3 linked regions of the Macaca fascicularis genome follow. The protein of the gene in region 2 purifies or fractionates together with the protein of the main gene of each other region. This does not show direct contact. Links are inferred from orthologs where the notes say so. Each region holds a gene or a part of one and is shown on either strand. Other genes may lie near its edges. The genes, in order: KDM5B, RB1 and E2F3.

Region 1 (3,654 bases), on a different chromosome or scaffold from region 2:
TATGACTAAATGCCCAAACTAAGCCCCAAGGCCCAGAATTTTCATGAAGTAGTGACTTCAAAGTACCCTCCCAACCCTAAAAAGAAATAAAAACCTACCCAGTTCCAAAGTAATTATCCAAAGTATCCAAAGTCATTTCCACCAAGTATTTGTGGTTTTATGCTAGATGTCATACTTTTTGACCTGTATATAAGTTTAAAAAAATAATTAAGTTCACTTGTAGCATTGTTAAGGTACAAAAAGAATGCATTATTTAATATGATTTTCCCAGTTTTCAGACGACTGACTGAATGACTTAATTTGAAAAGTGTTTGATGGGGGATGTCTTCCCTTATCTCTTATCATCATAAACTAATAGGTGTTACTGACCTATTGAGAAAAAAAAGTCTCAGGTTCTGTTTTGTTGAAGTCCTCAAATTCTAGAAATAAAAATACTATCTGGCTTTCTGAATATTTGTGTAATTTTAAGTGGTGCTAATTGGCTAGTTGCTAACAAGAAGTACCAAACAGGACAATTCTAGACAAATGTTTGCATCTGGGCATCTGTTCTTGTTAATAGGGAAAAGAAGATATATTGTTTGAGGAGATTACATAATTAAGGACTGACTCCAGCAAGCCAAAACAAAAACAAAAAAAAACAAAGTATTTACTATGGATGTAAACTTCGTTAATGAGAGTTTTAGATGTAGGCACTTGTCAATGATAGTTGGTACTGTAGTAATTAGTTTTAGTCATGGTCCTCCTTTTTACTCCATGATTGCTAGCAGCCAGAAGGTGAGCTCATGGCAATAAGGAGAGGCTGGCATATAAAATCAGAAAGCAAGGGCATGCTTCTGGATGAGTTTATTTCCTTCATATTTTATATGTATATGCTACTTTTACTATGTTTGTAACAGTGCCATTAAGGGCAAAAGGCAAGTTTTGCTTCATTCCTGAAAAAGTAGCCTACCTTTTTTTTGAATCATATATTTAAGGACTAATAGACATGACTAACAACAAGGAACTATTTTCTATTTAGTGGATTATTTATTTTAAAATGTTAGGCAGTATTCTGCTTTACACATAGGAAGCACTCGGATTTCTAAATTAAATACCATAGGAATAGCATTAATTTATGAGTCACGTTCTTAAGTGTCCATCAGAACATTTATGCCCTAACAGTTTTAATCCTCTAAGAATAAATATCAAAGGCAGCAAAATAACCTACCCAGTCTTCCCTAGTTGTCCCAAAAATGTCCCTTATGGCTGTTTGTCTAACCCAGGAACACACATTGCACCTAATTGGCATCTCTTTAAGTTTCTTTTGATCTTGTAGCGTTTTCCTCCCTACCCCAGTTTTTCTCATGTCACTGACTAGACAGTTATCCTGTGGTATACTCCACCTTCTGGATTTGTTTGGTTGTTTCTTTGTGGAGTGTTCTATTCTCTGTATTTTCTATAAATTGGAAGTTAGTTTTAAAACCCTGGTGCATCCAAGTTAAACATTTTTTAATATAATGCATTAAAATGTCAGGTAATACTGTATATTCTGTATTGCATCACAACAGGAGACATATCTGGATGACCTGACATCAGTGATGCTAAGTTTTACATTGTATTAGAGCAACACCAATGCATTTCATCCTCCATAACCTAATGCTTTTACTCTCCTTCTAGTTTGGCTATCTTTTTCTAAAAATACAGTTCCCAGACCAGCAGTAGTAGCATTGGCAACAGTAGCTTCACCTGGGAACTTGTTAGAAGTGCAAATTTATGGACCTTTCTCTGACCCACTGAATTAGAATATTTGGGGATAGGACTAAGGAAACTGTTTAAACAAGCCTTCCAGATGATTCTTATGTATGCTAAAGTTTGAGAACCACTGGGCTGTCTCAACTTTTATTTTAGTTTCCTGAATAATTTATATTGAGTCGCTTTAATTAATCATTGGTGAGTGGATTGGGGTAAAATATTGTTTTGTTACTTTTTATTTGTATAATTCTGTATGAAAGTCTTGAGTTTCTACAAACCTTCATTTCTGCTGAAATTTTTTTCAAACTATCAGTAGGGATCAATGTGATGAGTGAATTTAGAAGGGTATAAATAGAACAAAGGGACCACAGTATATGCCATGTTCACATTTGTATCCTTAGAGTCTAGCATATACTAGGTTCTCTAGGCCCGGCACAGTGGCTCACTATAATCCCAGCAGTTTGGGAGGCCGAGGTGGGAGAATTGCTTGAACCCAGGAGGTAGAGGTTGCAGTGAGCTGAGATTGCACCACTGCATTCCAGCCTGGGCAAGAGTGATACTCTGTCTTAAAAAAGAAGAAAAAAGAAAAAAAAAAGAAAATAAAAAAACACCACCAACAACAAAAGACCAAACTAGGTTCTCTAAGTGTCACTTCTACCCCCAACATTATTGGTCAGCTGGCAGGTTGACATTTGTGAATTTAGCATGTTGTTTGTGAATTTAGCATGTTGAGATCTTGGAGTAATCTGAAGTACTCAGTGAACCAATCTGATTTATGCTTTTCCTGTTTTTCATAGAAGTGTTCTTTTTTCTAAACTGCTGTAATTTTCCTTGATTTATTAGGCTGGAGGACGTGTGCCAGTGTTAGACACACTCATAGAACTTGTTACACGAGGCCGATCTATCCCGGTACATCTGAATTCTTTGCCAAGACTGGAATCCCTAGTAGCTGAGGTTCAGGCTTGGAAAGAATGTGCTGTTAATACATTCTTGACTGAGAATTCTCCATATTCTCTCTTAGAGGTAAGTTTACAACCAGCTCATCTGCAAGACCTTAGATCTCCTAGTTTGGTAAAACATGCAGTTCATCACATGCAAAGATGACATCACAGATTAATCTATATTCTGTGAGTTGTTCTTCCAGAAAAGCCAGGGAGATTCTTCTAATCTTCTGGTGAAGCAACCTTTAAATGTTTTCTTGGTTCATTTAGGATAACAGTATCTTAAAGAAGAAAATTTTTTCCTACTGGGTGAAATTCCTCTGTGTTGAAATTGGACTCTTAAACTTGGCCATGTTTTACCCACCTGAATTTCGTAAGCCTGATAAATGATCTCCCCCATCTTTTAAAAGTGCTTTAACTGCACTTTTTGTATTTTCTGTAAACTGTTGCTTGTGCATCATGACTGGGATCAGTTGGTATATATCACATTTTTTACTTGTTAGTTAATTGAATCAGGAATCAGTCAATCTCATAAGAGTCTTCCTCCTCCTTTTGTAAAGGAGAGTCTGAGGGTTGCACGTTCCAAAGAAAATCTTCAATACTAAGAAATGCACATCCTTTTTACTGCTTAGGCTTTTATTTTGGGACTTCCTACTTAATGCTTTATCTGAAATTTATTTTACCGTTCCTTGTGCTTTGTCCCACATTAGGTGCTGTGTCCTCGATGTGATATTGGCCTTTTGGGATTGAAAAGGAAACAGAGAAAGTTAAAGGAGCCCTTGCCAAATGGAAAGAAAAAAAGCACCAAATTAGAGAGTCTGAGTGACCTGGAGAGAGCTTTAACTGAAAGCAAAGAGACTGCTTCAGCTGTATGTAGGGGTTTTTTTCTTCTCCTTTCTGTGTTATTGGGAAGAATAATTTCTGACCCTCTCTGGTTTATAGGAATTTGGAGAAGGCAAGTAGAGTAAATTGAAAGTGTTCA
Region 2 (3,654 bases):
CTATTAGAAAAGAAAATCTAAAGGTAGAAATTTTAAAATTCATTTAACAAGTAAATTTTACTTTTTTTTTTTTCTACTGTTCTTTCTCAGACATTCAAACGTGTTTTGATCAAAGAAGAGGAGTATGATTCTATTATAGTATTCTATAACTCGGTCTTCATGCAGAGACTGAAAACAAATATTTTGCAGTATGCTTCCACCAGGGTAGGTCGAAAGTATCCTTTGACTGGAAAAATCTAATGTAATGGGTCCACCAAAACATTAAATAAATGGTCTACTTTTCTGTTTTTGCTCTAGCCCCCTACCTTGTCACCAATACCTCACATTCCTCGAAGTCCTTACAAGTTTCCTAGTTCGCCCTTACGGATTCCTGGAGGGAACATCTATATTTCACCCCTGAAGAGTCCATATAAAATTTCAGAAGGTCTGCCAACACCCACGAAAATGACTCCAAGATCAAGGTGTGTGTTTTCTCTTTATGGAAGTAGTAAAGAATGAGAGGGCGATTATTTTGATCCAAGAATAAAAAATATAAAGCTTTCTTCATTTCAAATAAGCTAGACTCTTGAAACTCTATTTGCTTATTTAAGTAACATAATAAGAATATGGAGAGAAAGAAAATCTATTTACTTGGATGAGTTTACACATTTACTTATCAGATTTCCTGACTGTTAGGGTATCTTCTTTTGTAAACAATTTGAGAACCAGTTTGGTTATATGTTTCAAAACACTTTCATATTTTTCTAAGTAGCCAATCTGCTAAACAAAGCAGGTTACTTTAGGTTGAGTACTTTTAGTTTGTAGTTTATTGGATGTCCTGTAAATTTTGCTTCCTGTGGATTTTGTTCATTTTGCTTGTTATATTAAATGTAGATTACTGTCAATTAAGTCTTTAGAGGTCCATCCCTAATCCTGCTGGCGGCCACTTTACCACTTTACCTTGGGCAGGTCTCTATCTGTACTTCACAAGGGTGCTGTGGATCAGGGAAATGATGAGTATGAAGCTGTTTTAAATGCTCAGATGAAAGGTTGTGTGCAACTACAAATCATTATATTATCTTCCACATCCAACCACAAGTGCTCTCTGGCTTTGAAGTGCTTCAATTGACTAATTATATGTTATCACGGGCTATTTGAAACTGACTTTATTTGTGTAAAGTAGGAGGCAGATTAGCTAGTATAGTTAATGTAGTCTCATCTCAGAAATTATCAGCCCATATGGTTGTACCTAATGGGCAAGAAAAGGGGAATATGTTGGCCTTTCAGAAAACATTTGCATGGTATATTTAATTATTTAAGTAGTACGTACTCATTATAAAAATTTCAAACTCTACAGAAAAATATGAAGTGAGAAATAATTGGCAATATGATACAAATGCTCTCATGTGCCTCTGTATCATCCTTTATTTATTTGGTGTTCTTGTAGTTGGATATCTGTGTACTGATACCTACTACTTGTTCTAAGCTGCTAAGATGCCACGTCATGTCTATTTAAGAAAATTTACATTGTTCCATGCCACTATATGAAAATGTATACTTAGGTAGTTTTCTTTAATAGTGATAATTAGTCCATATTATGGTGATAATGATGGCTACTTGCTGATCCTTAGTGAAATAAATTCTGTGTTGGTATTCTTTAGCAAGAAAGTCACATTCTGAACCTCCTAACTAATAAATCATTGACCAGGCATTAGGAGAGCATCTTAACACTACCTGGTACATTTAGGTGTTCTGGTTAATCAAATATTATATGTAGAATGATGGCCACTTATCAAGGAATTAGAGGACAAAAAATTCTCTATATTCACTAGTTCCATGTTCATGTTTTCAAATCTTTGTTGAGTCATGTCAGTCTAATGATGTTCTTCAGATTTATTATCAAGAACATAAATTATATGGTTCAAATAAAGACAGACTAATAAAGATTTCTGACTCCATATATGATATATGATAGCCTTTACTATATCAGTATAGAGGCTAATTAGAAGTCTGATTATTACTTAATATTGTAAGTTTTTTCCAAATATTACTTGAATTTTAAATGAGAAAATATGAAAGAAATTTGATAACTTACCCATTGATTTACGAAGAACTCAGTAGGGGTAAACTTGAAACTTTCCTTTGCCCTCCCTAAATATGGGCAATAGCAGAATATGTTCTTGCAGACTTATAACTTTTGCTGTAAAACTAAGAGACTAGGTGAGTATATGATTAAATGGGCACTGTTACAATAATTCCCAAATGAATATAGTTTGTCAGTAGTTCTAGGGTAGAGGTAACCTTTAATTTAGTATTCCTAATAGTTCAGAATGATGTATCTATGCTCGTCTCTGCAAAATTGTATATGATTTTTTATTACTAATTGGCATTTCATCTTAACTTGACAGAATCTTAGTATCAATTGGTGAATCATTTGGGGTGAGTATTTTCTTTCTATGAAATATAATAGTATGCATTGTAAGTATAAAAGAAATTAAAGCTTTCAATAATTCGAGTTTCTAAATGTAATTATTCAAACACCTCATCCAGGCATATTGCATAGAAATTTATGATATATATATATATAAAAAAAATACTCCTAATCTCAAATCATACTCCTAATTGGTGAACTTCAAAACTTTTCTAAATATTCATTTGAGGTTATATAATACATATATACATTTGTGTATATACATACATATATACGTGAGCTGTTTTTGCTCATAACACTTCTGTCACCAAATGTGTAAGATTTTTTTCTCACACAAATCTTCAACTCTCTGGTGTTCTACAATTCAATTCGATTCTGACACTAATTACTCAGAGTCAGCATCAGACTCCACAGGTTCAAGGCTCAGTCCCACAAAACTGGTCTCACTGCAGACACCAGTCACAAGTGTCAGGTCCCCAGGCTACACCATACTTCCTTCTGACTTGGATACAAAGTTGGGGGGTTCCAGTAGTGCCTCTTCCTTACAGGTTTGATCCATTGCCAGAACTACTCACAAAACTCTGGAAAATATTTTACTTACTATTATCAGTTCATCATAAAAGATACAAATGAACAGCCAGATGAAGAAGTATTATATAGGGTGAGGTCCAGAAGAGTCCCTAGCACAGGGGCTTCTGTCCCTGGGGAGTTGGGGTGCACCACCTTCCTAGCACTTAGACATGTTTACCAACTCCAAAGGTCTCCCAACCTTATTGTTGAGGGGTTTTTATAGGGGTTTCATTATGTAGGCATAATTGGTTAACTCAATCTCCAACCCCCTCCCATCCCTGGATAGAGGGTGGGGCTGAAAGTTCCAAGCTTCTGCTCAAGACCTGGTCTTTCTGGCAACCAGCTTCATCCTAAATTAGCTAGGTATGCACTAAGTATCACCTCATTAGAACAAAAGAGGGTCCCATTACCCTTATCACTCAGGAAATTCGAAGGGTTTTAGGAGCTCTGTTCCAGGAACCGGGGACAAAGAACAAATATCTCTCTATGATACCATGTATGTATGTACATAACCTCACAGGAATTTTATAAAACAGTTTTGAAATTCACTCATTATGAGTGTGATTTGAAATGAGATACTCCAAAATGTAAACCCGATATCCAAATGTCACCAGCCTGTCCCTGCCTACTGGTCTCCTTCCATACATATGCACTTTTTGCTTGTCCTTCCTCTC
Region 3 (3,754 bases), on a different chromosome or scaffold from region 2:
TTAGCATAAAAGGTGATCTGCATCATAAAGTCATCTCATTGTCATTATTAGCAGAAGGCGCATGCTTTCTTCTAACAGCAACATATACATTCTTCCAGAAAAATTCATTTGATTTTTCTAACTTATTTTTTGTTTCCGCCCATGTTTTCCTTTCAGACTTGGCTTCAACCAACTCAGGACATAGCGATTGCTCGATTTCTATGGGAAACCTTTCTCCTCTGGCCTCCCCAGCCAACCTCTTACAGCAGACTGAGGACCAAATTCCTTCCAACCTAGAAGGACCGTTTGTGAACTTACTGCCTCCCCTGCTGCAAGAGGACTATCTCCTGAGCCTCGGGGAGGAGGAAGGCATCAGCGATCTCTTTGATGCTTACGATTTGGAAAAGCTCCCACTGGTGGAAGACTTCATGTGTAGTTGATTATGCTTCGTGTGAACTCTCCTTAAAAACCGATATTTTTTTATCATGGAACCAGAACATCTGTCATGCACTGTTGTCCCTTCCTACCTTCTTCCTCCAAGAGAGTATCATGAAGTAAACTACAAACTTCAGAAGAAAGCTGACATTTTAATGAATTTTTTAAAAAATTAATAAACAAATTGTCTAAACGCACAGTTGCAGGCTCCCTTGGGAAAGCCCTGCTTTACTCCAGGCTCCAAGATCTCCTGGCTAAGTCAGCAAGTGAGAAAATGTGCAATCAGGTGTCTCTCACCCCGACTTTTCCTTCCTCCTTCCTCCCCGGATTGGCTTGCTGTGCCTGACGGATGGGCTGTAGAATGGGGTCTGGCCACCTGGCCCGCTGGGAAACAGCAATCTTCCTTAATAGCATTTCAAGCCGTGCCTTCTCCGCAGAATGCATGTCTTTGGGGTCTGCTAATATGGAATGGAACTGCAGCAAATGCAAACTTGAAGTCATGCAAAAGTATGAAATGGATTTCTTCAGCTCTTCTTAGGAATATTTAAATTACTGTCATAATTCAGTTTAAGCTATGAACTGTGTGTCCCAGTAGGAGGTCAAGAAAACCTCCACAGCCTTCTGGATGAAGAACCTGTTTTCAAATATACTTGTTGCAGATACAGAAGACTAGTAGAGTTCTGCCACTCTAAGCTGTTGTGGATTTTCCTGTCTCCATGAACCACTCCCATTCCCCTGTCCCCAATGTGTTTGTGAGTTTCCAGTTGATTTGTAGCAAATGCCTACTTAGTTCTTTGTGGATTGTTTTAGACTTTTTATTGTTTTAGCTGCCATTTAAGCATTCCTGTGGCACCCATCACCATTTCAATTTAATTGTTTACTTTGAAGCGGTTTTTGCAAATTCACATTACTTAAGCAGAGGGAGAGAACCTCTACTGATCGAGCATCTAAACCTGTGTGATCTAAGGTTTATCAGCCTCTGCAAGGAGCTTTGTCCCATCGTGCTTCCATTCCCAGGAGGGGGAGCTTGGAGCGAGTCAGTCCTGGGGGTTGCTGACATGGGCGGCCCGTTGGAAAGGAGAACCATGTCAGATGACGTAACAGCCCCAAGGAGCAGCAAGCATGGGTCCCTCCATCCTTGGGCTTCCCGGGCCCCTGTGACGGGGGAAAGGGCTCTCTTACACCGCACTCAGGGAGACCACTTCTCAGGATGGGGTCAGATGGAGAGACCTCTAGGGAGAAAGACATCCCCATTGTGTGAGTGGCATTTCCTTAAGCTGGCAGGAACAGGGAGCAGCCCTGTGTCGGGGGCTGGAATAGTTCTGGCCAGACCCTGTTCCCCTTCCTCTATGAAGGAATCAGTTGGACCAAGGGAAGTCGGGGACGTAGAAAATGAAGCAAAACAATGCCAGGGCGTCTCCCGCTTTACTCTTCAGGAATGGTGTCCCAAGTTGGAGGCTTTGTGTCAGCTGCAAATCCTACCAGTTGTGTCCAAGAATGGCCTTCCCTCGGGCAAGTGGCAGTGGCCATCTCCCCCTGGGAATATGGCGTAGTATCTCCGGTCCATTCCTTGGATGCTAAGGACTGCGGGAATGAGGGAGTCAGATCAAGAACAAACCTCAAAACGAACAGTTAAATTGAAATGCTATGTGCCTGACCCAATGGTAGGCACATAGTAGGCACTCAACTCATATGTTTAATTGAATTGAAAATATCCCTTAGGAAAAAATTTTAAAAACACAAACAAAAAACCACAAGAGCCCCAGCCAGTTTACTCCAGGTAGATTTCCACAATATGCAAAGTGGTGGTGGGGTCAAGACAGATGACACCAGCACTTTAAACTCTTTGTGTGGGTATGCGTGGGTGTATGTTTGGGAAGAAAAACAAAGGTGCAGACTATCTTCCTTTTTTCTTCTTCAGCCTCCATCCCTGGCCTCCTCCCCTCACACACACTGGACTTGGTACAAAATGTCGGTGTGGTCCTAGATGAAGCATTGGGGTGGGGGAGGGAGAGGGAGCTTTGTGTCAAGTGCCTACTGGAAATGCACTGTGGGGTTTTTTCCTGTATGGGAAACCATTTATGCCAAGCTTTTCCCCATTTCCCATATTTATCTCATCTGGTTAGCTGCCTCTGCTTCCAGCTTTGTGTAATTCTCTTTGCCAGCTGCACAAAGCTGATTTTTTCCAAAGTCTAAAGACTGAGCTCACCTGGCTAGATTGTTGTGTGTTTTGTTGAAATTTTTCATAATGTAATGCCGTATTTATTGTTTTAAAAATGAAAGGAATACTAATAAGTCTTAAAAGTTCCTTCATGCATAAGATTTTTTTTCCAGTTACTGGGCTTAACTGGTGTACATTAATTAGATGTCCATACTGTATTTTGTTTGCATTAAGTACTTTTCTTTTTGACTTAGTATCCGGCACACAAAGTGGGTTAGTACTACAGTATTTGCGTTACTTTAAGTACTAAGTATGCAGGTTTCCTGGTACCATTGAGTTGCTGCTATTAAAGCTCACACACGAAATGGCTAAAAGTTACAAGTGTGCGAATTATGACTGCGTGAGCCTTAGAAAATAAAATGTATAAAGGGCAACACATGAGCTGTCAAACAGTGTTAGGTATGTGTTTATATGTACAGAGTTGTGCATAGCAATCGTTTTATTTAAGTGGATATGTAGTCTACTCACATTTTCATTATTTAGCAATTTTGTACAAAAATAGCAATTAATTTGTAAACACTGCCAGAATACTTTCTAGCTGGTTTGTAATTTTTTAAGAGTGTTATTTCGTTTTGTTGTTTTTTCTGTTCTTTGTTGTGGTTCTTGTTTTCTTTTTTGTTGTACGTGTAGATCTGTAAATAAAATTGCAGTATTTAAAGCTTAAGCTTTCAGGAAAAAGAAAATAAGAATTCAGTGTGTGCATGACAACTCGTGTGTATGAGAAGGAGGGATTTGAAGGAAGATGGCTTGCAGAGTAAGTCGGGTGGCAATTGTCAGGGTGTGGGAATTTCTCTTCCTACGGGGTACGTGATTTTGTAAAAAGGAAGTATTTCTCCCAAAATTGGGAGTAGGCAAACTACGAATCAGTTTAGCTTTGTGTTGTATGCTAGTTTAAAAAAGAAAATATGTAATATAATGTAAAAAACAACCACAAAAAAAAGCTTTTATGATGGATTTTGTAAATAGATTTGTTACAGGGTGACCTGTTCTCTAGCTGTGATCTTACCACTTCAAATGGGTGTAATTTGAATAAATTTTGTATGGTAAAGGATCAATAAAATGATTTTTTTTTAAGAGTTCAGGCTTGTGGATGGGTTTTCTTTAATATTATATTATGCT

What was found.
Region 1: the proteins of RB1 (region 2) and KDM5B purify together in Homo sapiens (affinity purification with western blotting; 3 studies listed by BioGRID). This does not show direct contact. The link is inferred for Macaca fascicularis from reciprocal best matches to the Homo sapiens genes RB1 and KDM5B.
Region 3: the proteins of RB1 (region 2) and E2F3 purify together in Homo sapiens (affinity purification with western blotting; 9 studies listed by BioGRID and IntAct, with this or other methods). This does not show direct contact. The link is inferred for Macaca fascicularis from reciprocal best matches to the Homo sapiens genes RB1 and E2F3.

Annotation. Positions count from the first base shown.
Region 1 is NC_088375.1:60,485,902-60,489,555, reverse strand, and holds part of KDM5B (lysine-specific demethylase 5B), read left to right. Parts: intron 1-2,574; coding exon 2,575-2,754; intron 2,755-3,382; coding exon 3,383-3,541; intron 3,542-3,654. UniProt on the Homo sapiens protein: Histone demethylase that demethylates 'Lys-4' of histone H3, thereby playing a central role in histone code. Does not demethylate histone H3 'Lys-9' or H3 'Lys-27'. Demethylates trimethylated, dimethylated and monomethylated H3 'Lys-4'.
Region 2 is NC_088391.1:27,597,521-27,601,174, forward strand, and holds part of RB1 (retinoblastoma-associated protein), read left to right. Parts: intron 1-90; coding exon 91-204; intron 205-297; coding exon 298-461; intron 462-2,074; exon of another isoform or gene 2,075-2,205; intron 2,206-2,387; coding exon 2,388-2,418; intron 2,419-2,928; exon of another isoform or gene 2,929-3,654. UniProt on the Homo sapiens protein: Tumor suppressor that is a key regulator of the G1/S transition of the cell cycle. The hypophosphorylated form binds transcription regulators of the E2F family, preventing transcription of E2F-responsive genes.
Region 3 is NC_088378.1:152,463,055-152,466,808, reverse strand, and holds the end of E2F3 (transcription factor E2F3), read left to right. Parts: intron 1-156; coding exon 157-419; 3' UTR 420-3,714; downstream 3,715-3,754.